6 linked regions of the Sus scrofa genome follow. The protein of the gene in region 6 purifies or fractionates together with the protein of the main gene of each other region. This does not show direct contact. Links are inferred from orthologs where the notes say so. Each region holds a gene or a part of one and is shown on either strand. Other genes may lie near its edges. The genes, in order: SRSF1, NCBP1, SRSF3, NCBP2, UPF1 and EIF4A3.

Region 1 (5,383 bases), about 32 Mb from region 6:
GTTGAATAAAAAAAAAAAAAAAAAAAAAATCCACACGAATGCGGTTTGGTTGGGGCAGGAATCCACTCCTATGTTCCTGGTAATCTGATCCCGCTCCATGAATCCTTGTAATTCATCCTCCCTATCCTATCCACATTATGATTTGAATCCAATGATCCAGCTCCAAGGATTGGGATCCAGTGAGCCCTCTCCAATCCAAACCTTTATAACCAGCAAAACCAAAAAAGAGGAGGCAAAATGTTAGATACTGTAATCAAAAAAGGTTTCTGGGGAATGATGAGTTATGTCTGTCATCAGTTTAACAGATGTACATCAATAACTATCAAATTCCCCAAAACAAGTTTCTGAATGGTGTTCAGATAAATTTTAGAAACTTAATCATCATAGAGACTAACTGGAAGAAGCATTTTATATTTACAGTTCAACTGATAATGCCAACACTTGTTACTGTACAGCGTATTACAGGTTTTGTGGTTGCAAAAAGTTATGTAGTTTAAAAGTTTACTGGTATTGCTACCCACCTAAGTCTAAACTAAATCTAATGCTCCCAACTGCAATTTAATTTGTAAATTAAAGTGTTTTAAACATGAGTCAATTATGAATATTAAAGGGGAACGTGAGACTTAAAAAGTATTCCCAACTAGATTATCTACACCAATAAATTGGAATTCTATTATTTTGCTTTCATTTTGTCTTAAAAAAATGAAGTAGCAACGCTATTATATCAGTCACACAGAGGACATGCAGATTTAGCAGTATTGATATTATACTCTATCTGGTTGGAATTAAAGACACCCTGTACCCACAAGTACACCAACAGCAGGTCACACATTAACAGTTGTAACTAAGCACTGTGACAAATTAATCAGTTCTTCCCACATTAGTCCCTAATAAAACAAAAAAGGGAAGGGAGCAAAACAAATTGTTACAAAATGGGCCATGTAATTTTGCCACAATTGCCAGAGTTTTAAAGAGTAAAGCAATTGTAGCCAAATATAACTGCATAAAATGTTTTCAAGTGTTTTAAGATAGATGTATATAATCACTTTAAACCCTTGCCTTTTAGTATAAGGTCAATACTGCCAATTTCATCTGTGACAATAGCACTTGGAGTCATACCATTGCCTCCATTATTGATCTGATCCTCCTCAATCCTCCTTTTGACAATCCTAAAATGATTGAAATGTGCTCCACAATCCTTAATCCAAAGCATTCTTAATCCATCTCTTCAGATATGTCTACAGAAAGACACATGAAAAGCAAGATAAACATAAGAACTTCCCCAGGTAAGATAACCACCAACACCCCCAACATCCCAGTTCACACAAACCAGAGCAGAATAGACATTTACACAGTATCACAGTCTGAAGAGCATGGAGAGTTAACTAAATTTAAACAATCCTGTCTATGACATCACTTAAAATACAATTTATCAGACATGAGGGGAATGTAGATGTTAGGAGCAAGGGGATATTACACAAGAATGCAATTCAACACTTTAGCCCACTCTGAACAAAAACAGTTTTGAATTAAAAAATGAAAAGATTGTACTGAATAAAGGAAAACTGTATACAACATGGGTTCTACAAAAAAGTGTCACCAATCATCTTATGTACGAGAGCGAGATCTGCTATGACGGGGAGAATAGCGTGGTGATCCTCTGCTTCTCCTTGGGGAATAACTGCGACTCCTGCTGTTGCTTCTGCTACGGCTTCTGCTACGACTACGGCTTCGAGATCGAGATCTTCCATAACTTGGACTTCTGGGCCCATCAACTTTAACCCGGATGTAGGCAGTTTCTCCCTATTGGATAGACAGAACTTTCGATTGAAAGATCTAAGCTTTCACCTGTCTTCAGGCATGCTGAATGAATCAACGTAACTCAAACCAGAAATCTGGCACTTTACTGGGTTTTTACTTGGACACCCTTGCCTGAATCTTACCTTCAAATTCCACTGTTAAGACCACTGTATCCAATTCTGGCCAAGGAAAAGAATATAACCTACCTCATGAGATCTAAACTTAGTGTTATCCAGTTTTCGAACTGCATAGGTCATATCTTCTTTCCGTACAAACTCCACGACACCAGTGCCATCTCGGTAAACATCAGCATAACATACATCACCTGCTTCACGCATGTGATCCTTCAAATCCTGCCAGCTTCCACTTGGAGGCAGTCCTGAAAAAGTGCGTTTTCTTTCAATACCAATTATCCTAAGTTTCACATTAAACATAAAGGTTACATTAAAACAAGACTTAAAACCAACGGTCTTTAACATCCCGTTTAACGAGCTGTTAAAAGAGTTCGGAATCAAGAGTCCAAAATTATTTGTAAAGTTAAGGCTCTTCTTATCTTCTAGGTACTGCAACCTAATTCGCTAAGTCTCAAATAGAGTAGTCCTTGTTAACTAAAGTCACCCAAGGCACTCCGGTTTAAGTGAAGACCTGGCATGAAAACACCAAGAAAAACTTCAAAACGGTGTGCGGTCCCCTTATCATCAATCCGCACGGACCCGCCAACTCACCAGAGACAACCACTCTGTTTTCAGAACGCCTGGATGGGGGGCCATAGCGCCCTCGGGGAGCCCCGCCGCCACCACCCCCGCCGCCGCCTCGGCCGGTACCACGGCCGCTTCGAGGAAACTCCACCCGCAGACGGTATCCATCGTAATCATAGCCGTCGCGACCATACACCGCGTCTTCTGCGTCTCTGCGTGACCAGAGAAAGCCAAGGGGTAAGGAAAAGAAGAAAAAAAAAAAAAAAGGGCCAGGAGGGGCGGCTCACTCCGCCGGGGAGCGAGCGGGCCCCCGCACATGCGCACCGGGGTGGAAGAGCCCACATGCGCCGCATAATAGGAACGGCCCCTCCCCCACCCAGAAGCACGCCAGGCTCCCGACCACTCCAGCAGCCCTCGGCGCCTCAGTTTCCCGCTCCGAGCCTGCGAGTCGGCTCTAGGGACGTCCGTGGGGCCCGGCCACCAGAGGAGCCACGCCGACTCGGCTCCTTACTCGACTCCTGCATGGGCGATATCGTCTGGCCCCCAACCCAAGAACCCACCGCCCCATTCCCCAAGTGAAGGCCCCGGAGCCTTCCCCAACTACTCCAACCTATTTCCTCAAGGCCGCAAGCCCCTGGCCGCCTCACCGCGGGTCCTCGAACTCAACGAAGGCGAAGGGCGGTCCTCCGCGGCGATTCTTCAGGTCGATGTCGCGGATAGCACCGTATTTGTAGAACACGTCCTCAATGTCCTTGGTTCGGATGTCTGGAGGTAAGTTACCCACGTAGATGCGGCAATCGTTGTTCCCTGCCGGGCCACGGATCACACCACCTCCCGACATGGCGGCGACGAAAAGCGCGGACTCGAGAACAGGCCTTCCCACCAAGCCTAGCGAGCGGGAGAGCGAGCCCGCAGCGACACCACGTCTCCCGCGGCCCCTCCAAAATGGCGCCTTTATCAGCTCGGCGCACGGATATGGGGGGGAGGGAGGAAGAGAAGCGGGAGGAAGCAGCTATTCGATCTCACTACGCACGCGCAAGAGCGTAACGGGTGCTGCGAGAGTGACGCTCGCGCAAGCGCGACGTCACCCTCCGCGCGAAGGGAAAAAAGTTCCCGCCTTCCCGATTTGTCGAGGGGTTTAATAAGGGAGTGACCAGCCTTGTGGCAAAATTAAATATAGAGCTCTCGTAAAAGGGGTTATTAATCTCTGTCGAATCCTAAAGAATCAGCAGTTTCCTCAGGAATGTTTCTCTCAAAAAAACGGCGTCTTGAAAGTATTTGGTGAAACCTAGCCTAAAGCTAGGTCCCACCATGCTCTGCGCTGTTAACGGCCTTTGGCGGGAAAGACTGCCGGGGGCGGAGTCAAAGGGGGAGGGACCAGGCGGTTGCTCCGGAAACACGGGCATCCTTGGAGAGTGCACCTCGTTCAGGAGTCGCGTTGCGGGTGAATCAACGCGGAGCCGAGACGTGACTTTGTCTTCCCGCCCCATCTGCGAACGGGCCGTGGACTGCTTGGACGACTGTCTAATGCAGGGGAACCTGGCTGAGACGCTTTAATAAATATTCTACGCTAAGTACCGTTCCACCTTCGGTTCAGAACTGACCTCAGTTCAACGCTCCTTGTGCTCGTGGCGGTAATTCCTGGCGGCATCAGCCAACCAGGACCCAGACCTCTGCTTCTTTTTTAAATCACCTATCGCCAGGGCCCAGCGCAGCGGAGAGGTCCAGTGAAGGTTTGCAGAATGAATTGTGTCTGTTATTTCTACAACGTCTTTCAAAGAACGAAAAAGACGCGCGCCCTCCTGTTTGTATTGCAGAATCCTGACGTTCCTTCCTTTTTTGGAACTCATTAGCAAATCTCTCAGGTAATATGAATGAGCAAAGTGGATGTGTGAGGATTTCTGTGACCACTGGAGACCGAAGTGGCGGCTTAAGGACTCATCTCGCCAGCATGTTGGTCCAGGGAGATAAGAACTTGTTACATTTTGCCACGGAGCCATCTGAAATCTGGATTTTTATATGAAATACTGGGATTTTAAAATATTAATGGTGAATTCAAATTAAAAAAAAAACCCTGTCATAAATATGCTGAAACAGGTCTGCACCCTGATTGAGAGGATGATTTTCTTCATTTTTATTTATTCGCATCAATCCCTCTCCCCAGTGATGTGATGCTGTTTACAGAGATACCAGAAAACGTTATTGCAATTGAATGGAGAAATCACGGAGAATATAAGGGGAAATTAAAATGAAGTCATGGATAAAGTTAATACACAAAATGGCTGCAGTAAAAATTTGTGAGTTCTAAAGATGGATTACAAATTTGACCCTAGTCATCATGGCAGTCACAGTAAAGAAGGAAACAGTATATTCAAGATCCAAAGTGCCTTAAAAAGATTTTTCAGAAGGTCATGTTTTCAGTTCTAAAAGGCGATTGCATGTATTTTAACAGTGTTCTCAGTAATCCCAAAATGCAAATTTAATTTGCTGCTCAACAGATTCACAGAAGATCTTTAGTAGTAGTCCTTGAAATCTGATGGTTTTCAAAACTGGGTATCGCACAGTTTTTTTGTCTTTTAGATCATCCTCCAATGATAGATATTTTTTTTCTTCCTGCGGCATGTGGAAGATTCCAGGCTAGGGTTAAAATCAGAGCTGCAGCTGCCAGCCTACACCACAGCCACAGCAATGCAGGATCTGAGCTGCATCTGTGACCTATGCCACAGCTTGCGGCAACGCTGGGTCCTTAACCCACTGAGCAAGGTTGGGGATCGAACTCGCCTCCTCATGGATACTAGTCGGATTCTTTTTTTTTTTTTTTTTTTTTTGTCTTTTTGCTGTTTCTTGGGCCGCTCCCACAGCGTATGGAGGTTCCCAGGCTAGGG
Region 2 (4,583 bases), on a different chromosome or scaffold from region 6:
ATTTAACTAAAATACAGATGTCATGAGAACCCACCATTAAGCCAGCTGACCTAATTTTTAGATATTAAGTTTTTTTGCTATAGGTGCAGCATGTGGAAGTTCCCAGGCTAAGGGTCGAATCAGAGCTGCAGCTGCCGGCCTACACCACAGCTCATGGCAACTTCAGATCCTCAACCCACCAAGTGAGGCCAGGGATGGAATCTGAATCCTCATGGATGCTAGTGGGGTTTGTTTCCGCTAAGCCACAATGGGAACTCCTAGATGTTAAGAATTTATAATGTGATAACCTGCCGTGAATCTTTTGGGTTTTTTTAATTACTAAAGGGTGAAAAATTCGTGGTACTGTATGGATAAGATTCCATACTAAAGAGAAAATACCTGGTACTGTATGGACAAGAAGCAGCATAAGGGGTCTTCTTACCTGAGGCACATCTTCTTCCTGAGTAACACTTACAAAATTTTCAAACATAGCAACCATTGATGGAGCAGCAATGACATGACAATTCACAAGATCAGATAAAAAACGGACCTGTTGGGTAAAACAATTTCTATTAAATGTAAATGCCCTTTATAGTAATTATAAAACAAGCAATTGCGTAAAGGTTGAAACCACAGGTCTGAAAAACTATAGCCCAAGGGCCAAATCTAGCCCAATGCCTATTTTTAAGCAGCCTGTGAACTAAGAGTAGTTTTTAGATATTTAAATGCTAGAAAAAGACCCAAAAGAATATTCTGATTCACACAAGTTACAAAAGTAAATTTCAGTGTCCACAAATCAACTTTTACACAGCCATGCTCATCTATTTACATACTATCTGCAGCTGCTTTTATGTTCTAATAGCAGAGCTGAGTAGCTGTGATAGACTACAGGAGGGACAGGAGTCTGTGCATTGATAGCTTCACATTTATACTGGAATAAGAACCTAAACTGTAATATTCTAGCTACTACAACTTTTGCTGTTTGGCTGTGAAGGAAATTTTCACTGGACAACAGAAATGGAAATTCATGAAAAGATATTTATTGGGTGTCCTTTGTGTGCCACTGCTGAGCATATTAGAGTCTCTGTCATATGGGGGCTAATAGTCTAGTGGGACAAGCCAAATCTCAACGCAAAAGGATGAATCCTATACTAAAGGATAAATTAAAAAGTGCTCTAGAAACAGAGATACAGAGAGAGGGGAAAACATCTTAAGGGAGTAACAATCCATCTAGGTCATACAGAATGAGTAAAGTTGTCCTCCAGCGGGGAGCAAGGAGAGGGTCTAGGCAGAGAAGTTCAAAAACATGGTGCAGGGACCTGCAAATATTCTGATACAGCTGGAGGATATATGGGAGGCAAACAGAAACAGACTAGTGCAACCACTGAGGGTCAGGCTTAATGAAGAATCTGAACTTCACCTTATAGCCTGATGGGTGTCTAAATTCTTTTGTGTACTCAACAGAAAAGAATCTGATCACATACTTCCAACATATATATTATATATTTTATAATATACACTGGCCCATTGTCAATCTATGTATACAACTAATAAGGCTTAATTCCATTTCCATTTAAGATAAATAAGAGTTCTAACAGTTACTTCCTGCATCATCTTGTTCATGGCTTTGAAAACCATCCTCTGTAGACAATGGGAAGGAATTGAGGTTTTTAACACGTAACCAATACGAACAGAACCTTGTTACAGAAAGACCACTCTGGTGTCACTGTAGAAGATAAAGTGAAAGGTAGAGAATCTGGATGTAAAAAGATCAGTTAAGAGGCTACTGAGACATGAGGAGGAAGGCATGAACTATATTAGAGGCCCTGGAGACAACGGAGAAGGGACTGACTGGAGGAAGAACTCTAGACAGGACTTGGGGACTGCTCGGAGTAAGAGGGGGCAAAGGCAAGACAAAAACGAATGCTCCGGCTTCTCGATGGACTATCCAGTAACTAGCAGCCATTTGTGCAGGTTGGGGTGAGGACAGAGGAAAGAAGATATGAATAATTCATTAATTCAGGGAATTCCAGGCAAGATACCTTAGGGCTATCCAGGTAGTATTTGGAACATAGGTCTGGAGTTCAAGAGAAAGGTTGAAGTGAAGATACAGATTACAGATTTGGGGTGTGTGGGTGTGTGTGGGTGTCCTCAACATAAAGGTAGTTTATGAAGCTATGAGAGAGAATGAGAATGCTTTAGGAAAGAGTATTTGGAAGAAAATGCAGTGAGGACAGCATCCTAGGGAAGACAAAAATTTAAGGGACAAAGGAAGCTGCTCCAGTAAAAGGAGACTGAGAAAAAGAAGGTACGTAGCAGCACGAGGTCCTGAAAAAGGAGGTGCTGCAAAAACCGAGACTAAGAAAGCAGTACAAAGCATCACATGCTGCAGGAAGGTCAACCAAGATTTAGAGTGAAAAAAAGTCACTGGACTTGGTAAAATGAGCTCTGTACCTTTAATGAGAATGGTTTCAAAAGGGCAGCTGTTGTGGTGAGTGGGGAACTGTATTTCAAGAGAAAAGATAAATTATTTGGTTGTAGCTCACCTCTTCCCTCCATTCCAACACTAACATATCATATCAAAAAAGCCTCCCAAACCGAAAAACTTACCAGATATACAGCTTCATTATAATTGTTTGCTTTCAACGATTCTTTAAGTTGACGAATCATGGCTTCTACAAATTCTCCACCAAAGTTGTAATTCCTGGCATTCAGCAGTCCAACTAGTGTTGTATAAATTGTCAACTTCTCAGGTAACAGACGTGCACTAATTTGAGAACCCAGAACAACAAGAAGATCCCAAAACAATAGCATTAAGTTTCTGAATTTTACATTATATAAATTTTATCATTTTTATAATTTTAGAAAAGCATCACATTTAGCTATATTTTAAAAACTACTTCAGAAAAGGCATAAATATTGAATAGAGTTGCAGATATGGCCCCCTCAAATTTTTCATTTTAATTCTAGTTAATCCACAAGTTAAGAAAGTTAAACACTCTTAATTGTGAAGTCATCAAACTAAAGATATAACTAATGTTAGACTAGTTTTTCTTCCAATGTGCTTAGTGGAACTGAATAGCAGTTCTACAGAAAATGGTCTCTATGGTAAAATACCTGGAAATTGCTGTGAAACAAGTTTCCTCAATGCAGAATCAATAAGGGGGAGAGAGAGCATACAAAATTTCTAAACTTCGCAGACCAACTGTCATGGGATCAGAATTCCACTTTGAGAAATACTACTCTAGTTGCTTAGAAAAAATTCAGAACTAAACCCAGTTTCTATCAGTTAAATTATTGAATTTCTAACATGGTACCCAATGTAGTAAGATGTCTTTACATCCCAGTTTGCTTACTTAAGTGTTAATTTTCATTAAAGTTATGTGAAAAATAGAGAAGAGGATTATAGTCATACTTCAGAAAAAGGTAATGTTGACCCCTAATTTAGGCAGTCTTCAGAAATTAGCTCAAAAAGAAAAGCAAATATGAATTCATGATCATTCAGAATCTCCTACACTTTGTGTTTTCCCAAAGTTCCTAGCATGAGTATTAAGGACAATTTAGGTTTAAAAAAAAAATAACTTGCATTAATAGTAACCATTCAATCTTTACCCTTCCCCACCTCAGTCATGGCTTCCCTTAGAGTTTAAGCATAAATATACTCCATTCAAATAAATGCTTTCAGAACAGAAGGAATCTAAGCATAACTACAGTAAAGTAATTCTTCTTAGTAGTTTTCTAGCCTAAGGACATGTTTTACTGAATACTGACTGGATTCTTTCAAAAAATTGTATCTGAGGAGTTCCCGTTGTGACTCAGTGGTTAATGAATCCGACTACTATACATGAGGATGAAGGTTCCATCCCTGGCGTTGCTCAATGGGTTAAGGATCCAGCGTTGCCATGACCTGTGGTGTAGGTGATAGATGCTGCTCAGATCCCATGTTGCTGTGGTATAGGCTGGCAGCTACAGCTGTGATTCGACCCCTATCCTGGGAATCCATATGCCACATATCTAGCCCTAAAAAGACAAAAAAGACAAAAAAAAAAAAAAAAAAAGGTAAAATCCACTGCTAGTTTCAATTCGTGTGTACATTTTTAAATTAAAATTGAGCTGTAAGCAATGGAAAAAACAAAACAAAAGCACATTATTTAAGAACAACTGAAATAACAACTTAAGCCACCTTCATAATGAAGACTTCTTTATCCAGAAGTCATAGCTACTTCTTCACAAAGCATACAGTTTAGAGTGATCCGTGTCAACCGGAGAGATGAGGAAGTCTAGATTGCTAATTCCACTGCTAAGGGAGACTATTTCATGATCTCATGTGAGACTTTTCCTACTGTAATGTCCTTACAAATTAAATACTAATACTTGTTCTAGCTCATCTAACTCAGAGAAAAATCATACTTATTATGTCATAGCTTCAAAAGCACTTTCAAGTCTTCTAAGAAGGGCCATTACTTGAGTGACTGATACTCAAATTAGTTGGATACTATTGATTAAAAATATAAACTCTATTATATATATTTAATTGTACATACTGAAAAGAAAACCACTGAATGTGAAACCGCCTATTTTCTCACTTAACAGCAGTCAACTCA
Region 3 (4,427 bases), on a different chromosome or scaffold from region 6:
TCAATTTTGCTTAAGGGAACATTGTAAAGTAACAATTCTTGGTATTACATGCCTCATATGATTCATTTCAAACCATAGAGAATTACATCTTTATGTGTAAAAATTACATCTTTACTTTTGTTGCCAAGAGACAAACAAATGTGAACAGCTAAAACATCTTAAAAATGCACCAAGCTTATGAAGTCTCAAACAAAACTTGAATTTTCTGTACATACTCCTGTCAAATGAAGTTATTTGCTGTACACCACTCCTCTTGCAAACTGGTTTTCTATTTCCTTTCATTTGACCTGGATCGGCTAAAAACAAAAACCAAAAGTTACAAAAATTGTATCAAAATGACTTAAAAGAAGTACTTGTTTTTAGTACATTATGTATGCAAGGTCTTTTATGCCTCAGGTCATTAAAGATCTTACCTACGAGACCTAGAGAAAGAACGGGACGGCTTGTGATTTCTCTCCCGAGAAAGTGATCTCTCTCTTCTCCTATCTCTAGAAAGGGACCTGAAGTCAGAGGGGAAAAAAAAAATAGGGCCATTCAGGATCATACACCCGTATTTCCAAGATTTTGAAAAACTAAAAACTAATTTTTCTTACAACTTAACAGTGGTTACAGATACTACCTCAGTCATTATGAAAGTCAACATCTATTACTATTATCTAAGTCATTTGGAAAACAGCTTAGGAACAGCACAAATACTCCCATTTCTGAGAACGTGGCCCGCAAAAAGTAGTTATTTACCTGCTCCGGCTACGGGAGAAGCTTCTCCGTCTTGGAGATCTAAAAGCAGAAACAGGAAAATTAGACTAACTGTCAATTAGCATTTATGGCGTGAGGCATTTCCCAACTTTTCAATCTCACTGTTGGGCCCAGTGAATGTGCCGAAGAACTGGCACCCATCGTCCAAAAATAATAAAAAAAATTTTTTTTTAAAGAAAAGAAAAAAGGCACAGAAGGATTAAGGAACCAAAAGCTCAAGTGAAAAGCAGGTATCCAACCATGGATTCACTTTAACAAAGAATGCTTCACAGCAGATCTGTCCAATGCAAAACTTTCATGTCAAACTAACTTCACTACCCAAACACCACACCAAAATGTAGTCCCACAATAGTTCCAAAAACAGTACCATAAATCAGTATTTGGAACCCATGCAAACCTATAAGTCCATGACAAGACTTAGGTACCAGGTGGATAGTGTAATTCTGTGAAAACGCGCTAGGTGTAAATATTGATGCCATTAAGTGCTACATTAGAACTGCCATTTGTGATCGTCACATTTAAGAGTGTGTTTAGGCTTATCAAAATTACCTTAGCTTGGCCCACTTCACCCCCAAAATTTTAATTTTTGAAAACTGTTAGTAAAACCATTTAAAGGTGATAGGATTCAACAAATTTTTGCTAGAAAGGAAAGCTAAATCTGTTAGAATTATTAAAATTTTAGTTTGGCATCTCAAACATGCAAATAAGTTTCACTTGAAGGTCTAGTTACATTATGAGTTCCCTATCACCCTTAAAAGTTTTATTCAAGCAATATATATGTACGTTACCATTCAATTATGCACAGCCAGCCTTTGATCCAGAAAAAAGAATTACTTTAAGCCGCTTACTCCTTATTTTAACCAGCAGTAAACTGTATAAGCAGGAAAAACTTACTAGTTTTTGGGTTTCAACAAGCTAGAAATGGTGAGGTGAGGCTGCCGGACTGACGGCCAGGAAGAATTTGCTGAAAAGGTTTTGCCAGATGTTGCGTTGGATTTAGTTGGTTGGCGAAGGGGGTGTTGTGGATTTTTCCTGCTTTTTTGTTAGCCGAAGGCTGCTGCTGTAGTTGTTGTGAAGACATTTGGTAAATAAACAGCTGAGCTGATTGGCCAGGAATGTGTGGGCGGTCGAGGTGGCTGCTGCCGATTTGGTTAAGGTTGGAGAGAAGGCTGAGAGAAAACAGCATGCTCGGGAACCAAAGGGCGGTGCAACCTGACGACTGGCCATGCCTGGGTCATGTGAAACGACACCAGCCAAGCTGAATGGGGCGCGCTGGTCACATGACGCTGAAAGGGCTAGTTGACTGGCTAATGCAGATTCAGAGGGTGGTGAGAAGAGACATGATGGTGACTCTGTAACGGGGTTCATTTTTATTAATAGATGGACCAAAAAGCACAAAAAAAAAATGAAAAACAAGCCATCAGTACAACCATCTATTAGCTAACAAATACTCTTTATTATGATGGGCAACAGTGTGTTGTTTTGTTTTTCAAAACAGCAAAAGGGGCAAGATTTTGAACTCCTATCTCCTAGAAGGACTTCACTCACCTGTAAGAGGTAAATTCAGTCCTATAGAAACTATTTTGGAGGTTTGAGGAGATGTGGAGTTAGCATCCAGACAATACTGCCTGGTCCAAGAAAGATGCCATTTTTAATTATAAAAAAACTGAATTCTCTCCTATTTGGGTTTGAAGAACAGATGACTGGGATTACTTTAGCCCCCTTTATTGGTCAGTGACTTAAGTTAGTTTCAGAATGACTTCTACTTTACCAGTTGCAACATTAAAACAGCTGCCTGTTTGATAAATATTACAATAGTAGAAAACACATTTTGGTGAAGAGCTAGAATTGAATGTAATGTTTGTCATTATGGAGTCAAGAAATGGAAAAAGGCCTAAATTGAAGTATAAGGGAAGACTTGGAAAGATGCAACTAGAAGATGAACTAGAAGATAGATCCAAGATAGAAGTTACTGACTACCAACATGAACAGTGACCTAAGACAAAAGCCAACACTCAGCACAACTCACATACCCCAAGCTACGCCCAGCAAATGTTTCATAAAAACCTCTGATTCTTCAAAGTTTAAAACCCACCAACAAACTTTAAGAGAATACCTGTTCCTATCAGCTACTCCATTACACCAATACCTCTAAACACGCTCTCTCTAAGTACCTGCGGCGAGGTGGAGGACTCCTTCTCCGATAATCATCTCGAGGGCGACGACCCCAAGAAGGAGGTGGGCCACGATTTCTACTTCTCTTTTCACCATTAGAGAGTTCCACTCTTACTCGGCAGCCACACAGCGTTCTAAGAGGGAAGAAACATTAAATTTAAAGCAGCCGGATTGATTAAAAGATACACATTAAAGCGGGAAAAAAACCCCAACATTCATTTATAGCTAGTTTCTGTGTAAGAAACATCTGAATGCTCATAGAATTCTTAACACCAAAACAAGGTTTAGTTTCTATATTTTTTTCTGGTAAAAAACACCTTCCTTACATTTTATTGCTTTGTTAGTCAGTGTGATCATTGGGTTCAATGATCACAGTGACAATATTAAGTGTGAAAATCCCTGGATCCATTCTCAAAGAATTAGTTCATCTGTACATGCTGGTGTGACTACTTCCTTTGAGGTCCCAGCAATTGTTTACCAACCTTACTATATTTGTTGGTCTCCTTTCTCTTCATACCTCCAAGTAAAGAGCAGTAAACAGGACAGAAGCATTCTGGCCATTTATTTAATACAACCCTCTCCACTCAATCATCACACAATAGTTGACAAGAAATTGCAAGTGAGAACAGTAAGAAAGTTATCTCCCACCTCTTCATTGGTCCACAACCATTAAGTTTAGATAAGCCACATTTGGACAGACACTGGGAAGAGGTGGGGCTCTCAACCAGTTTCTGCAATTTGCTTAGTTAAGTGACCTTTCATATAGCTTTACAGCCAACTCTCAGATCCTTTCAGTTTTCCATCTTAAGGATCAAAGTTTTCCTTGATTTCATGAAATCCAGTGGTTTGCAAATGCCAGGATAAAGGGCAACACTAGTTCACTTTAAGACTCAGGTGTTATTTGAGTTCCCCGGTGGCTCAGCAAGTTAAAAATGCAGCACTGGAGACAGTTTGGGGGGGTTGGGGGATGGAAATCCTATAAAATTGGATTGTGATGATCATCGTACAACTAAAAATGTAATAAGTTCACTGAGTAATAGAAAAAAAAAAATAGAATGCAGCACTGTCACATTTGATCCCAGAACCTGGGAACATCCACAAGCCACTAGCACAGAAAAAACAAACAAAAAAAACCAAAAAACAAAACAAAACACCCAACTAACCTCAGGTGTTACTTAGCCAGTCAACAAGACACTAAAAGCATAGGGAAATAACACCCACACTTCCTAAAAAAAAGTGTTATCATGTAAAGATAATGGTACAATAAACCCATGTAACCATCATCCAGCTACAATCAATCAGGATGTGACCATAAGGGAATGTCTGATTCCACAATTTTAGATTTCAAAGTTTACAACATGACTATTTATAGTGGATTTAGATTAAAATATTTCAGTCATATTTTGGATGCTGCTCTCCACCCGCCAACTGCAAATAAAATTCTTTTCTTCAATGGCAAACTGAATAAACTCTCCCTACGTATCGTCACTAAAACC
Region 4 (4,196 bases), on a different chromosome or scaffold from region 6:
GGGCTTTCACCACTCACTGGTTTTGGGCCAATTTTCCATAGCCACCTCTCCCAGCATCATAGTCCTGTCGATACTCATCTCGTACCTTACATGAAAGAACATGTTACAGTATACACACCATTAGTGCAAAAAAACATGCCTCCCACAAATATGTCAAATAGCTAATCCTTTTCAGATGTCGTAATGTGAACAATTCAAGCAGAGCATAATTTTGGGCAACTGATATAAACTAACTGCCCTGCAAATTTATTTAAGACATCTTTTTAACCAAACATCAGCTTATACTCAGCATTCAAAAATAGCACAATTCCAAATACTTAGACTATTTAAAATTAAAAATATGGAGTTCCCGTCGTGGTGCAGCGGAAACGAATCCAACTAGGGACCATGAGGTTGCGGGTTCGATCCCTGGTCTCACTCGGTGGGTTAAGGATCCAGCGTTGCTGTAAGCTGTGGTGTAGATCACAGACACGGCTCGGATCTGCTGTGGCTGTGGCTGTGGCATAGGCTGGTGGCTGTGGCTCCAATTAGAACCCTAGCCTGGGAACTTCCATATGCCGCAAGTGTGGCCCTAAAAAGCAAATAAATAAATAAAAATAAAAATATGAAAGTCATTTCAGTACATTTTGCTTTAGTTTTAGATGCTCTTGCAGGTGGAGAATATTTAACTCCTAGCAGGAGTCCAATAATGGATGCTTTTAGAGATAGACGGAATATACTATTCAATGGTTTTTAAAAGTAATTTACCAATCCCAATGGGTGGTTTTCAGATTCACTTCAAGCCAAAGGTTACAGGCACAAAGTTATTTTCAAAAGAGGAAATAAAAATTGACAAAACACTTGTCAATTTAGGACTGGAATTCCAGGCAAAGGCTGAGCCCAGAGAACCTTCCTACATACCTGGCCCCCAGATCGTCCACGGCCATACTGCCTGCCCTCTTTAAAGCCTGCATCCCAGTCTGTGCGAATGATGCGGTCATCCAGACGAGTTCCATTTATGTACCGCATGGCATTTTCAGCATCTGCTCTTGAATAGTATCTTAAGTGTAATTATTAAGGAAATAAGCATTTCTCCAAATGTTTTTGTAAACAGAGGACGCAACATCATAATGAAGCTGAGTTGTTAAGAAACAGCACAAAAACTAATCCAACCAGATGGAATTCAAAACAATAATATGGCTTGCACTGGCTGTCTGAGTTTGGTCCAGAAGCACTTAGTCAAATCTTACACTTATACACAGCTACAAAATCATTTTCTGGATAATTCTGTTAATTATCTTGGCCCTACTGTCCCCATATTTTTGTTTGCAAAATATAAAATGTTTAGTTCAGGTTTAAATCATGAACTGTTATCTAAGGGGAAAATAGCACCCAAATATGGAGCTATATATTAAGAACAATCTTAAAAAAAAGAAAAAAAAGGGAAACAAATCTGACTAGAATCCATGAGGACATGGGTTCGATCCCTGGCCCCAGTGGGTCAGCAATCTGGCATTGCCATAAGCTGTGGTGTAGGTCGCAGATGTGGTTCAGATCTAATGCGGCTGTGGCTTAGGCCAGCAGCTGCAGCTCTGATTCAACCCCTGGCCTGGGAACTTACATGTGCTGCAAGTGCAGTCCTGAGAAGCAAAAAAAAAAAACAAAAAACCTTAAAAAGAGATTACGGTGCATATGAATTGCCACTGCATTTCATTAGAAGGAAAGATTCAAAGATTACTCCGGTTAGTAGTTCCAAATCTATTTCATCAGGTCTACTGAATCTTTGGGGTGGTATTAAAACAAGACAAAACTCTGTAAGTAATTAACTGGGTTTAAGAAATGCTGATCTGGATTTTTCCCCCTTGTCTTTAGCAGGTAGGAAAACACTTGCTAAAATTTAGTGTCCAACATCCACACAATACCTAGCCCCCAGTGGGCATTCAATAATTTTTTTGTAGAAAGAAATGAATGCTAAAGGGCAAGCTGAAAAGAAAAACCCTAGCAGTGAATTGTACCCTTTCTTTCAGGTTATTTGCCATCATGATTACTGATCTTTGACCTTCAAAGCAAATGCAAAACATCCCAGTTCTTACAGATGGGTTATTATCTAAGATTTTATTTGCCTTTTTGTCCCCCGTGAACTATTTTACAGTTACCAGATGTGAAAGAAAGACCTAGGCACTCATCCCTTGTGTCTGAAGGGAGAGTGGAAGAAGCTTGCACAGCCCAGAAATCAGATACCAAAATCCAAAGTGGGGAGTAGGTTCAAAAGTGGGGCTTCTAGTTCAAGCATCTGATAGCATAAGCAGGAGCACATTTTCTCTTCTTTCCTTAAGGCCCCCATTAACATGACAAAAAAGAAATACATACCCAAAGAGTAGAAGGGGCCATCAGGAGACTAGAGATTCAACAAAGATGAAGAGTGCTAATAGATGAAACAAAATCACAGTACAAAATATTCTTAAAGAAGACGATAGCAAACCCAAGAGAATCTTAATTCAAAGTTGAATAAGAAACAAGGCTGCAAAGAGGGTCTAATTAAAGGGGTCTATGTGGGAAGAAAACCTGTTAGCAGGAAGGCATTTAATCCCAGGCAAATAATAAAGTGATACGGTTATAAACCATCTGGAGGAACTGGGCATTATCTTTGATGTTAACAAGCCGAAATACAAATCCATTTTCATTCTGGCATTAGACAAACCTGCATGTCCTAAAGGCAAGGCAGCAACTTGAGAAGCTCTACCTGGGTCAGTTTTTTCCCCTAATTATGATCAGAAACCCAGGGATCACCAGAAATTTAAGGAAAATTTATAGCATAAATACAACCAAAAGAAACAATTCAGGGAGTCCCCATTGTGGCTCAGTGCTGGAGACCATGGAACAGCAGAACTCTGCAGAACGCAAGTGTCTACGGCCTCAGAGTTTTATTTTATTTTTTTGTCTGTTTGCCTTTTCTAGGGCCACTACAGTGGCATATGGAGTTCCCAGGCTAGGGGTCTAATCTGAGCTGTAGCCACTGGTCTACACCAGAGCCACAGCAACCTACAGAGCCACAGCTTCTGTGACCTACACCACGGCAACTCTGGATCATTAACCCACTGAGCAAGGCCAGGAATCGAACCCACAACCTCACGGTTCCTAGTCGGATTTGTTAACCACTGTGCCACAACAGGAACTCCTGGACTCAGAGTTTTAAAGTAGAGTCTCTTTCAAAAACAAGATGAAGGACTTATGCATTAACTATGTTATTCTATAAACAGCTACATTATGTCCTAAGGATATCCCCTTTTGATATTACAAATTAGATAACCTCAGCCATTGCTGTCCCTGCCCACTAATCTTGTCACATTCATTAATCCCATCAATAATAATTTCATCACCTTCTTTAATAAAAAGATGTGGGCTAAAGCCTAGGTGCCTTTGCTTTGTTCTGCGAACACTAGCCTCGTGGTCCCCCACTTTCTAAATGTAAGAGCCTTGTGGTTGTTATACCTCGACGTCCCTCTTCCAGGATTCCCATTTCCCTGCAGCTCAGTGATAACAAACCTGACTAGAATTCATGAGGACACCAGTTCGGATCAGTGGGTTAAGGATCCGGCATTGATGTGAGCTATGGAGTAGGTCACAGACCTGCTTGGATCCTGTGCTGCTATGGCGTAGGCCAGGCAGCTACAGCTCTGATTTGACCCCAGCTCAGGAACTTCCATATTTCCATGTGCTACAGGTGTAGCCCTAAAAAGATAAAACAGACAAAAACAAAACACCAAACAAACAATTCAAGGCACAGAAAATTCAAAAGACATGTTAGATCAGGTCTGGGAAATTTCTCAAACAAAATGACCCAAAAAGGAAATATTAATTAAAAAAAACAAAAACATCAGGAGTTCCCCTTGTGGCTCAGTGGTAACAAACCTGGGTGTCCAAGAGGATGGAGGTTTGATCCCAGGCCTCACTCAGTGAATTAAAGGATCTGGTGTTGCCATGTGAACTATGGTATAGGCTGCAGATACAGCTTGATTTGGCATTGCTGTGGCTGTGGCATAGGCCAGCAGCTGTATCTCCAATTCTACCCCTAGCCTGAGAACTTCCAAAAGCCACAAGTGCAGCCCTAGAAAGCAAAAAGCAAAAAAAAGACTTAATCAACTACAAACAAAGCATGGATTTCAGAACAGAATATAAATGTTACCAGCTTTCCTAATATAAGAATACAGATACAC
Region 5 (5,123 bases), on a different chromosome or scaffold from region 6:
AAGACATATCAAAAGTGGCTACACATTGGAAAACAGTCTGGCAGGCCCTGAAAACCACATGCAGTTGTTTCCAGACCACCCAGTAGTTTCACTGAAGGCTTACACCCACACAGAAACTTGTACACAGATGTTCACAGCTGCATTCTTCATAACAGCTAAAAATGGAAACAATCCAAATGTCCACCAACAGGTAAGAGGATAAACAAAATGTGGTCTGTCCATCTATGGAATATTACTCAGTCATCGAAAGGAATGGAGCACATGCAACATGAATGAACCTTGAAAACAGGCTCAATGAAAGAACCAAAGACCACATACTGTATGATTCCACTTATATGGAATCATACCGAGGAGATAAATCCAGAGAGAAAAAACAGCGGTTGCTTGGAATTGGAGAAGGGAGGACTGACAGACTAAGCGATGTGGGATTTCTTTTTACAGTGATGCAAATGTCATAAAATCAACTGTGGTGGTGGCTGTGCAACTCTGAATGTACTAAAACCACTGAACTGCTCACTTTGAATGGGTGAAGTATATGGTACATGAACTCTATCTCAATAAAGCTGTGAAATGAAAGTGGATGCATAGCATGTGACAATTCACAGCCACTCAGCCAGTAAGATAAAATCAAAAGGCACTCAGAATAGAAGCCCCATCATACAGCTGGTTACACAGACAAGTCTGAAGACAAATAAGGAAAATCTTCCCAAATGTTGTAGGCAGCCAATGCCTCCAACTGGCACAGGAGATACTCAATTTTTTTCCACTTTCTGGTTCTATTCAGACTCTCCTGCCCCCAAATCCAAAGCTTCCTCTTGTGACTCCAAGGATATTACTCCCCAAAATACAAATCCAAAGTTAGGCTACAGAGTTAAAGTAAGGAAGGACAAACCGTTTTGATGTCATCAGAATTCAAATGAGTTCAACTATAATGTTTCCCTCCAGTGGAGTGTTTTAATGCTCTTATTTAGTACAGTTCAATGGTCAGGTGCAGGAAAAGTAATCAATTATTGCAACTAAAAGAGGACACGCCCCCACAATTAACCGAAAACAGAAACCAAGGACCAAAACTACAACTTGGAGCTGCCCAGGTTTGCTGTTTTATAGGCTACAGTTTAAAAAGGATTTGCAATAAAACAATTACCTTTCACAACCCTGAGCTACCATAGGTCATGACACACTGCTCAACCAAGAGATTTTTATCCTCAGCTTCCCGGACATGGTGGACGCAAATTATAGACAACACTATCAGGTCTATCCGTTCATACAGAAGTCCAATTTCACATATGTCTAAAGGTAACCAAATAAGAGCTGTTACCCCCATTTTAAAGTTGTGGGAACAAATCTACAAGGTATGAAACTACAAGTGTTATCAAGAGTCTCTGGTGGCTCATTCATGTCTCCATGCAAACTTTCCCCTCTAACTTCCCCCATCATATGTAAACAAAACTGAAAAAACATACATACATGCACACCTGTTCTCCCTGATGCCCCCACCCATCAAGCATCTATTTTTAAGGAATCTGAGGTTAGAATGAGTCAAATGTTTTTTGCTTCTATTAGGGGCTAAGAGAAAGTCCAAGTGGGTGGTCTACCCATGGGAGTGACTCAACCAACTACAATGTAAGCCCCCTTCCCCAGGACAGGGTCTAAGCTCACTCTGGCTGAGGACAGGTTGGCTCCCCAAGATCTGACGGTGGGTCCTCATGTCAAGGGACACCTGCAACAAGGCAAGCCCTATATCTCCTCCACGGCTGAGAATTCAGGAAAATAAAATCAAAGGAGGTACCAGGCAAAGAAATGGAATCTGAGATTCAGAAGATGATGGCTACATTCCCAAGTGAGCCCAGTTCAAGACCACAGCCAGCCCCCTTGCCCACCCTAGGGCAGGGCCCCAGATCCAGGAAGTGTATGCCCAATACTTCTCATAACACAAACCCAAATTTAAAATAGTCTTCACATCATTAAGAACAAAAGTCTCTGACGTGGCAGACCAATTTAAGTAAAACCCACCACTATTACCCCGTTGGAGGAACAAACTCAAACCCAACTTTTCCAAGGCAGGGCTGCGGAGTTACGTAACAGGTCGGTTTCAGCAACAGGCAATGCCAGAAAGAAAAACAAAACGCAAACTGCCTCCTGAATAATCTTAAAAGCCAACGAGTATGGGGTTCACGACTGGAGGCAAAAGTTCCGTTTCTGCTGGGGGAGCCTCGACCCTCCTCTCACCAGCGTCCCTGAGCCCAGGGAAATCTGAATCCGCCGCTCAGTGGGCATAAGAGGGGTAAGGGAGAGTGCTCTGAAGGTTCCGACCACAGGTAAGGGGGTGGGGCAGGGCGGTCGGATCAGCCAGAGGAGGGGACCGGAGCAGATCACCGACCCAGCTGGAGAACTCGGGGACAGGTCATCCCCGACTTGGCCAAAGACAGACCCGGAAGGGGACTTGGGACAGATCGCGTAAGACCTAGCCTGAACGAGATCCTGAAATCACCCGGACGCAACCAGAGCAGGACTTGAGGTAGGTTTGCCTGGATCCGGCTGGAGAGCGGGAGCCGGGGCAGGTTACTCCGGGGACGTCCTGAATGGGAGAGACCCCGCCAGGTTACTCCAGGCCCGACTGGAGTTTGAAACACGAGCACATCAGCCTCTGCCCCGATGGAGGGGGAGCCAGGGCAGGTTCCCGGCCGCCGAGGCCTGGCCCCATCTTCCGGCGCCGCCATGTGCCGCTCACCTGAGCGTCGAGCTGTCCGGCGGCCGCGCCCGGCCCCGCGCCGACCGGGGCCCCAGCGCCTCCACCTCCAGGACCACCGGGGGGCGTCTGCGTCTGGCTGGGGAGGGTGAAGTCGGTAAACTCGAACTCGGAGCCCTGCGTGTCGGCGCCGAGGAGCTCGGCCTCCTCGGTATCCAGGAAGGTGAGCGTCTGAGAGCTGGGCCCGTACGCCTCCACGCTCATGGTGCCGCCGCGTAGGGCCCTCAGGCCGGCTCCGCGCCGCACTCGAGCCCGCCGCTGCGCTGAGGCCTAGGCCGCAGGTCTTGGGCAGCCGCCGCCGCCGCCGCCGCCGCCGCCGCCGCGCCCGCGCTCCTGGACAAGATCAAAACGCCCGCCGCGGTGCGAACCGGGTCGAGAGCCACGCGCGCCGAGCCGCCGCCTCTGCCGCTGAGCCCCTCAGTACCACCGCTTCCTTCGGAGCCGCCCGCCCTCGCAGCCCCCGGCAGGAACCGCCGCCGCCGCCGTGCGCGTGCGCGAGCCCGACGCCGCCGCAGGTGCGCGTGCGCGAGCCCGACGCCGGCGCAGACGAACGCGCTCCTCGAGGACGCCTCCTACCGCGCCCGGACTCCCGGAGCTGAGTGGGCCGACAGAACGCGCAGCGCGCAAGCGCGGGAGGCGGGGCTTCCAACCGTCTTCCCGACGGCGGCTCGAGAAGCTAGTCTCGCTCCAACCGCTCCTCCGTGGCGCCTGGGCAGCGGATGGTGTAGATGTGGTGGTCCTTGCCCTTAGGGGCGGCGACAATGTCTTGGGTTAATTGACCGCCAACTGAATACCTTACACAGGTGGAACCCAGCTGGGGAAGCTTGTCGAGGACGGTGCGGTGCGTCCCCATCTTTTAGAGAATCTTCCTGGGCCTGTTTCCTCACCTTTAAAATGGGGATGCCTGGCACATAGTAGCTGCTCAGTGTGCATTTGTTGAATAAATTAGTGGGGACAGCCCTTAGCACAGCACATAGCACGCAGAAATGGTGGTTGCAGCAGTTCTGTACAATTATAATATTATTCAGAGGCAGTATATAACAAAGCACTTGGGAGCACTTGCTCAGGTTTGAAATCCAGACCTGGCCACCTACTGGCTGTGTGACTTTGTGCAAATGATTTCACGTCTCAGCCTAGGATTTCCTCCGCTGGGAAAGGGAAATAATAACCATTAAGATGGGCTGAGGGGAGTGCCGGTAGTGGCTCAGTGGAAACAAATCTGACTAGGAATAATGAGGATGCAAGTTTGATCCCTGGCCTCCTCAGTGGGTTAAGGATCTGGCATTGCTGTGAGCTGTGGCCTAGGCTGCAGACATGGCTTGAATCTGGAGTTGCTGTGGCTGCAGCAAAGGCCAGCAGCCGTAGCTCCAATTTGACCAATAGCCTGGGAACCTCCATATGCCGCCACTTCGGCCCTGATCTGAGGAATGTCTGTGACCCATACCACAGCTGATGGCAATTCCAGATCCTTAACCCACTGAGCGAGGCCAGGAATGGAACCCACATCCTCATGGATGCTAGATTGGGTTTCTTAACCACTGAGCCATGATGGGAGGTCCCTCTCGGAGTTTTAAATGCATGCCCTACCCTGCCTTTGATCTAGCAATTCCACTTCTAAGGATATCCTCTTATTTCCTACATATACTCACATTCGCAAAATGGCACTGTGGGAGTTCCTGTCGTGGCGCAGTGGAAACTAATCTGACTAGGAACTATGAGGTTGTGGGTCCGATCCCTGGCCTCACTCAGTGGTTAAGGATCCATCGTTGCCATGAGCTGTGGTGTAGGTCTCAAACGAGGCTCAGATCCCGCGTTGCTGTGGCTGTGGTGTAGGCTAGCAGCTGTAGCTCTGATTAGACTACTAGCCTGGGAACCTCCATATGCGCAGGTGCGGCCCTAAAAGACACACACAAGAAAAGACAAAATGGCACTGTGGGTGATAAACTAAAACATAACCATTTAACACAAAAGAAAGCAATAAAGGAGAAATTGGGGGGAAAAGATACCACATATAGAAATAAATGGCAGAAATAAGTCCCTATGAGTAATTTATTAAATGTAAATGATTAAACTCTCCACTTAAAAAAGGAGTTCCCATTGTGGCTCGGTAGTAACGAACCTGACTAGTATCCATGAGGACTCGGGTTCAATCCCTGACCTCGCTCCGTGGGTTAAGGATCAGGCATTGCCATGAACTGTGGTGTAGGTCACAGACACGGCTTGGATCCCACATTGCTGTGGCTGTAGTATAGGCTGACAGCTACAGCTCCAATTTGACCCCTAGCCTGGGAACTTCCATATGCTGCAGATGTGGTCCTAAAAAGACAAAGAAAAAAAAAAGAAGAAGTTGTCAGAATTGATTTGTTTTTTAAAA
Region 6 (5,093 bases):
AGAAAACACAGAAAAATGGGATTTAGAATGATGGGCCACATGCCACTGCTCCCATCATGTGACCTCTGTCCAGCAGTGCTCCGGGGAAGCATGTGGGGAGCGTCTTACAAGTAGACCCCACTCCCCCACCGCACCCCCGGCCAACATCTTCACCTCAAGGGGGTGGGACTCAGGCACGTGTCCCAACTTTCAAATCACAGGTGATGGGGATAATAAACAGGAAGTGATGAAGCTGCAGAATCTGTAACTTCAGTGGCTAAAAAAGAGATTTCCTTTCATATAATCGTCTGATTTCAGACTCACGCAGCCAAAAAAAAAAAAACAGGCAAATTGGGAATAAAGCTATTAAGAGTATTATACATAATCCCATTTGCCAAATGATAGGTAAGGAAATTGGGCTTTTTTAAAAAAGAGCTTTCCAGAGTGGAGGACACAAAAATAAAAAGTGCCTATGGCTGAATGCAAGGCCAGGGCTGGTCACGGCGACGGAAGGAGAAGCGCAAAGGCGCTGCTGTGCTGAGCAGCCCGGCCCGGGCCCGGCTCCCGCAGACTCACTGTGCAATGACATCTCTCCCCTTGATGATCTGCTTAATAGCTCGCTGCTGGATTGCCGAAGGCTTTTCAAAACCTGTAAATTAGAGCAGAAAACAATTAGTTCTAACCGCTAGGACAGCATGCTTACAACCAGACGCTGGGGCTCCTCGAGGGCAAGGATGGGCTCTCTTTCTTCCTTTCTCTTTCGGCTGCCCCTCGGCATATGGAGTTCGTGGGTATGTGATCAAATCTGAGCCACAGCTGTGACCTACACCACCGCTGTGGCAACACCAGTTACTTTCACCCACTGTGCCAGGCAGGGACTGAACCTACATCCTGGTGCTGCAGATATGCCACTGATCCCGTTGCACCACAGAAGGAACTCCAAGGATGGTATGTTTTTTAAAAAAAAAAAAAACCCTCCTGATGCAATGTCCAACATACTGAGCTCTCAAAAAACAGCTGTTGAACAAAGCAGGATTTGTGGACTTTTGTGGATTTTTTTTTTTAGGGCCACACCTGCAGCATATGGAGGTTCCCAGGCTAAGGGTCGAACGGGAGCTGTGGCTGCTGGCCTGAGCCACAGCCACAGCAACTTGGGATCTGAGCCACGTCTGCAACCTCCACCACAGCTCCCGAAACGCCGGATCCTTAATCCACTGAGCCAGGCCAGGGACTGAACCCACAATTTCATGGATACTAGTCGAGTTTGTTAACCACTGAGCAAGGGAACTCCAGTGGATTTTCTTTATAGTAACATATGATCTTATTTATACAGACAAAATCTCTGAGGAACATTGTTGCAAACAGAGACCCTAGTTAGGTTTAAAAAAAAAAAAAGTTAACAGGTGGTTACTGCTGGAGAACAGGGGGAGGGAAGCTCACATCTTACTTCCATTACTACTGCATTGTTTGACTTCATTACAATAACCTGCATTGTTGGGGGTGTTTTGGCATCACTTGTTAAATTAAATAACCCATCACAGTCAGTCACTACTCCCTATCAGCAGTAAGTCTTTGGGTAGGTGACATCATCTAAAAACGAATGTCACCTACGCCTCCCGCCCTGGATGCCCTCCTGCCCTGGATGCGGCTGCGTGAACTGCAACCCCTCTACTGTCTGAGTAAACAAAACTTCATGTACAAATAATGGACATGAAATAATTCTCATAGTCTTTTAAAATGTAGTAAACTTCCCACTTAACACAAAAGCCAATCTAATGTGATTTAAACCCCTCATGATGACGCAGCAGGTGTTTCAGGGAAGGGAGGCCCTAGATCCCAAGAGGCAGGTGGGCTGTGAGCCTCACTACAAGGCTTAGTTGCTATAGTTCACCTCCCGTTCCCTCAGCACCTTCTCTGCACTAAACTGTCCTGACTCAAGGACTGCTGGATAAAAAAGATGCCCCAGTCCCAGGCATTAAGCACGGATGCTGCTCATTCCGGAGAGTAGCCCCAACCCCGCCTCTTCCGAGGCTCCCAGCTAGGACAACTGATGGCTCACAGGTCCCTCAAGCTCCCCTCATTCAAGAAGTGCTCCCACCATTACTCCCTGCCTGAGCAGAGGGCAGCATCACCGGTCCCATCAGCCACACACCTAGGATTTTCCTCTGCTGCTTACATCCATCTCCACCAGAAAACCATCATCTCTCCCCCGGACTGGAACAAAAAGCCTCCTAGCATCTCCCTGCTTGCTCTCCCGCCTCACCTCCACCCACATCAGACACCCCAATTCACTTCTAACTAAATATGGTCCTGTCGCTTCCTTGCATGAGACCCTCCAATGGCCTCCCCCACTGCACTCAGAAATAAAATGCACTCTCTTTATCACCCCAGACTTCACTCTTCAAGATGTGGCCCCCTCCTCCCTCCCCACAGGGAGGACAGGAGATTCTGTTCCTGGAATGTCCCCGGCTCCGGGCTGCAGGACCTGGCACCAGCTGCCCCCTCTGCCCAATTCTAACATAACCTTCTCATAACGGGCTCCTTAGCTGAGTCTCAGTTCAAATGCCAGGCCCTACTGGCAGCCACCTTGCCTATTTGCTCTACTAGTTTAACTCTCTCCTCCGCGCAGCTTGAACCAATTATCCCGCTTAATTTTCTCCGTAGCCATTACCATCGATTATACAGTCCTCCTCCCAAATGTAACTTAAACTAAGGCTTAAGCTAACTTAACTAAGGGCACGAACCTGTCTGGTTCCCTACTAAGCCCCGAGTACCTAGAGCCGCGCACCTGGCCGATACAAGACAGTTATCCGCTGAATGAATGACTCCCAAGTGCCCAAAGGACCCTGCAGCCCTCTTGGGTCCCAGCAGGGCGCGCTGCCGGGAGGACAACACCCGAACCCGCCGGCACAGATGGGGGTGGATACGCGTGGTGAGGGAAGGGGTCACCCGTGACCCACCCCGGGCTCGGCCCCAACCCGGATCCCCGACCTTCAGGACCGCCACACTCCCAGTCTCGGGACCCAGCCCTCGGCCGGGCCCATGCTCTCCGGCGGGCGCTCGCAGCCCGCGCCCCGCGCCCACCGACCGTAGGCATAGATGCCGCGCAGCAGGTCCTCCCGCAGGCCCATAGTGTCGAACGTGGGAGTCACGTCCACCTCCTCGCTGGTCTCGAATTCCACTTTGGTCATGTCTTCCTCTTTCAGCAGCCGCTTCCGCGCCGAGCCTGAGGTCGCCATCGTGGCCGTGGCCGCCATGATGCCGAGCGGGCTGAGAACCGACTGCGCGCCGCACCGGGAAGCGGAAGTAGAGCGCCGCGCCGTCGCCGCCGCCAGGAACTGACGGCATCGCGCGCGCGTGCCTGCGTAGGAGCGTGCGTCGGAGCCGCGCTCGGAAGGGGCGGGGAGCTCCTGGTCACGTGAAAGGGGAAAGGGGCGGTGCCGCAGCTCTCGAGGGGGAGGGGTTCCGCGGGATCCGCGGGCCCCGCCCCTGGCCACACCCCGCCCCTCCCCGCACCCGCGTAAGGTAGGCGCCGGGGTTCGCCCGGGTCCCTCGGCTTGGGCTCTGGGCTGGGCTGTTGCGCGGAGGGTTACCGGTTACCTGGCCGCATTACCGGTTCCTCAGCGCGGCAGGGTAGAACTGGAACTCCTGCAGACGAGCTGCGGCGTGCGCCAGGGCGCCCCTGCCGGGAGGAGGCACCCGGGTGCTGGTCCCTGCCTGCGCTCATTATCCCGTGTAAACATGGCCCCGTGGGCCATGCTTCTCTAAAACTTCAAGTGCCTCTAAAATCAAGTACCGCAAAACTGGCCTCTGAACCGATTTCATCACTTGACGGACGTTCATCTGTGTTGTGTGAGAACAGCGATAACTTTGTGAAACTTGTACTTGCCCAAGTGCCAGCTCCGTCCTTTCTCATTGTTTGCTTGGCTCCCATCCTGGGCATATCTTTAATTCACAGCCTCTTTCCAGGAGTGCTTAAACGCTTTCCTGTTGTGAAGGTTAATTCAGTGAAAACTGGGTGATCATATTATCCATTAAAATCAGGCATAAGAGTGCAGAGGTTTGCAGTTTGTTGACAGCAAACAAGTAAATGAGGTCTTTTCCTGAAGCTCTGGCCCAGACCTTAGAATATGTCCAGACTCTGCAAGAAAATTGACCTGATAAACGTGCCTGATAAGGATGCTAGTATGGGAAGTTCCCCTTGTGGCTCAGTGGGTTAAGAACCTGACTAGCATCCATGAGGACACGGTTCGATCCCTGGTCTTGCTCAGTGAGTTAAGGATCTGGCGTTGCCGTGAGCTGTGGTGTAGGTTGCAGATGTGGCTCAGAGCTGGCACAGCTGTGGCTGTGGTGTAGGCCGCCAGCTATAGCTCCAATTTGACCTCTAGCCTGAGATTTTCCGTATGCTGCATGTGTGACCCTAAGAAGCAAGAAAAAAAAAAATGCCAGTATTACTCAAACCTTAGAGTTCCAGCTGTGGCACAGAGTAAGTTGCTGCGGAGGGCATGGGTTCAGTCCCCAGCCTGTGCAGTGGATTAAAGTATCCCAGGTTGCCACAGTTGGTCACAGCTGCAGCTTGAATTTTTTTTTCTTTAAAGGGCCACACCTGCAGCATATGGAAGTTCCTAGGCTAGGGGTCAAATCGGAACTACAGCTGCCTGCCTATAGTAGCCACAGCAATTTGGGATCCAAGCTTCTGCAACCTACACCACAGCTCACAGCAACACCAGATCCTTAACCCACTGAGACAAAACAGGAACTCCCAGCTGCAGCAGGGATTTTAATCCCTGGCCCAGGAATTTCCATACACCACGGTTCAGACCTTAAAAAAAAAAATTAAATATTTATAAATCTGAATTTCTTTCTTAGACTTTAAAGTGAATAAAATACAAATGTATACAGAATAAGTTGCTGCGGAGGGCATGGGTTCAATCCCCAGCCTGTGCAGTGGATTAAAGTATTCTCAGGTCTTGCGATTCCACAGAGGGGTTATCCGTGTCCTCTCTGAAGTAGCCCACATTGTTTTGCGAACTGTCCTAGGGCTGTGCTGTAAAACGCACACAAATTTCAGACTTAGTATAAGAAAACGAGAGGAATTCCTGTCGTGGCGTAGC

What was found.
Region 1: the proteins of EIF4A3 (region 6) and SRSF1 fractionate together in Homo sapiens (co-fractionation; 4 studies listed by BioGRID and IntAct, with this or other methods). This does not show direct contact. The link is inferred for Sus scrofa from reciprocal best matches to the Homo sapiens genes EIF4A3 and SRSF1.
Region 2: the proteins of EIF4A3 (region 6) and NCBP1 purify together in Homo sapiens (co-immunoprecipitation; 3 studies listed by BioGRID and IntAct, with this or other methods). This does not show direct contact. The link is inferred for Sus scrofa from reciprocal best matches to the Homo sapiens genes EIF4A3 and NCBP1.
Region 3: the proteins of EIF4A3 (region 6) and SRSF3 purify together in Homo sapiens (affinity purification with mass spectrometry; 3 studies listed by BioGRID and IntAct, with this or other methods). This does not show direct contact. The link is inferred for Sus scrofa from reciprocal best matches to the Homo sapiens genes EIF4A3 and SRSF3.
Region 4: the proteins of EIF4A3 (region 6) and NCBP2 purify together in Homo sapiens (co-immunoprecipitation; 3 studies listed by BioGRID and IntAct, with this or other methods). This does not show direct contact. The link is inferred for Sus scrofa from reciprocal best matches to the Homo sapiens genes EIF4A3 and NCBP2.
Region 5: the proteins of EIF4A3 (region 6) and UPF1 purify together in Homo sapiens (co-immunoprecipitation; 8 studies listed by BioGRID and IntAct, with this or other methods). This does not show direct contact. The link is inferred for Sus scrofa from reciprocal best matches to the Homo sapiens genes EIF4A3 and UPF1.

The regions. Positions count from the first base shown.
Region 1 is NC_010454.4:34,278,690-34,284,072, forward strand, and holds the start of SRSF1 (serine/arginine-rich splicing factor 1), read right to left. Parts: upstream 3,430-5,383; 5' UTR 3,340-3,429; coding exon 3,146-3,339; exon of another isoform or gene 2,719-3,145; intron 2,711-2,718; coding exon 2,526-2,710; intron 2,180-2,525; coding exon 2,007-2,179; intron 1,804-2,006; coding exon 1,609-1,803; 3' UTR 1-1,608. UniProt on the Homo sapiens protein: Plays a role in preventing exon skipping, ensuring the accuracy of splicing and regulating alternative splicing.
Region 2 is NC_010443.5:239,501,853-239,506,435, reverse strand, and holds part of NCBP1 (nuclear cap-binding protein subunit 1), read right to left. Parts: intron 2,747-4,583; coding exon 2,590-2,746; intron 530-2,589; coding exon 422-529; intron 1-421. UniProt on the Homo sapiens protein: Component of the cap-binding complex (CBC), which binds cotranscriptionally to the 5'-cap of pre-mRNAs and is involved in various processes such as pre-mRNA splicing, translation regulation, nonsense-mediated mRNA decay, RNA-mediated gene silencing (RNAi) by microRNAs (miRNAs) and mRNA export.
Region 3 is NC_010449.5:32,291,644-32,296,070, reverse strand, and holds part of SRSF3 (serine/arginine-rich splicing factor 3), read right to left. Parts: intron 3,066-4,427; coding exon 2,931-3,065; intron 2,109-2,930; exon of another isoform or gene 1,651-2,108; intron 778-1,650; coding exon 739-777; intron 501-738; coding exon 414-500; intron 297-413; coding exon 269-296; 3' UTR 1-268. UniProt on the Homo sapiens protein: Splicing factor, which binds the consensus motif 5'-C[ACU][AU]C[ACU][AC]C-3' within pre-mRNA and promotes specific exons inclusion during alternative splicing.
Region 4 is NC_010455.5:133,186,725-133,190,920, reverse strand, and holds part of NCBP2 (nuclear cap-binding protein subunit 2), read right to left. Parts: intron 1,040-4,196; coding exon 901-1,039; intron 86-900; coding exon 14-85; 3' UTR 1-13. UniProt on the Homo sapiens protein: Component of the cap-binding complex (CBC), which binds co-transcriptionally to the 5' cap of pre-mRNAs and is involved in various processes such as pre-mRNA splicing, translation regulation, nonsense-mediated mRNA decay, RNA-mediated gene silencing (RNAi) by microRNAs (miRNAs) and mRNA export.
Region 5 is NC_010444.4:59,010,275-59,015,397, forward strand, and holds the start of UPF1 (regulator of nonsense transcripts 1), read right to left. Parts: upstream 3,250-5,123; 5' UTR 2,954-3,249; coding exon 2,732-2,953; intron 1-2,731. UniProt on the Homo sapiens protein: RNA-dependent helicase required for nonsense-mediated decay (NMD) of aberrant mRNAs containing premature stop codons and modulates the expression level of normal mRNAs.
Region 6 is NC_010454.4:2,283,838-2,288,930, reverse strand, and holds the start of EIF4A3 (eukaryotic initiation factor 4A-III), read right to left. Parts: upstream 3,253-5,093; 5' UTR 3,237-3,252; coding exon 3,068-3,236; intron 629-3,067; coding exon 556-628; intron 1-555. UniProt on the Homo sapiens protein: ATP-dependent RNA helicase. Involved in pre-mRNA splicing as component of the spliceosome. Core component of the splicing-dependent multiprotein exon junction complex (EJC) deposited at splice junctions on mRNAs.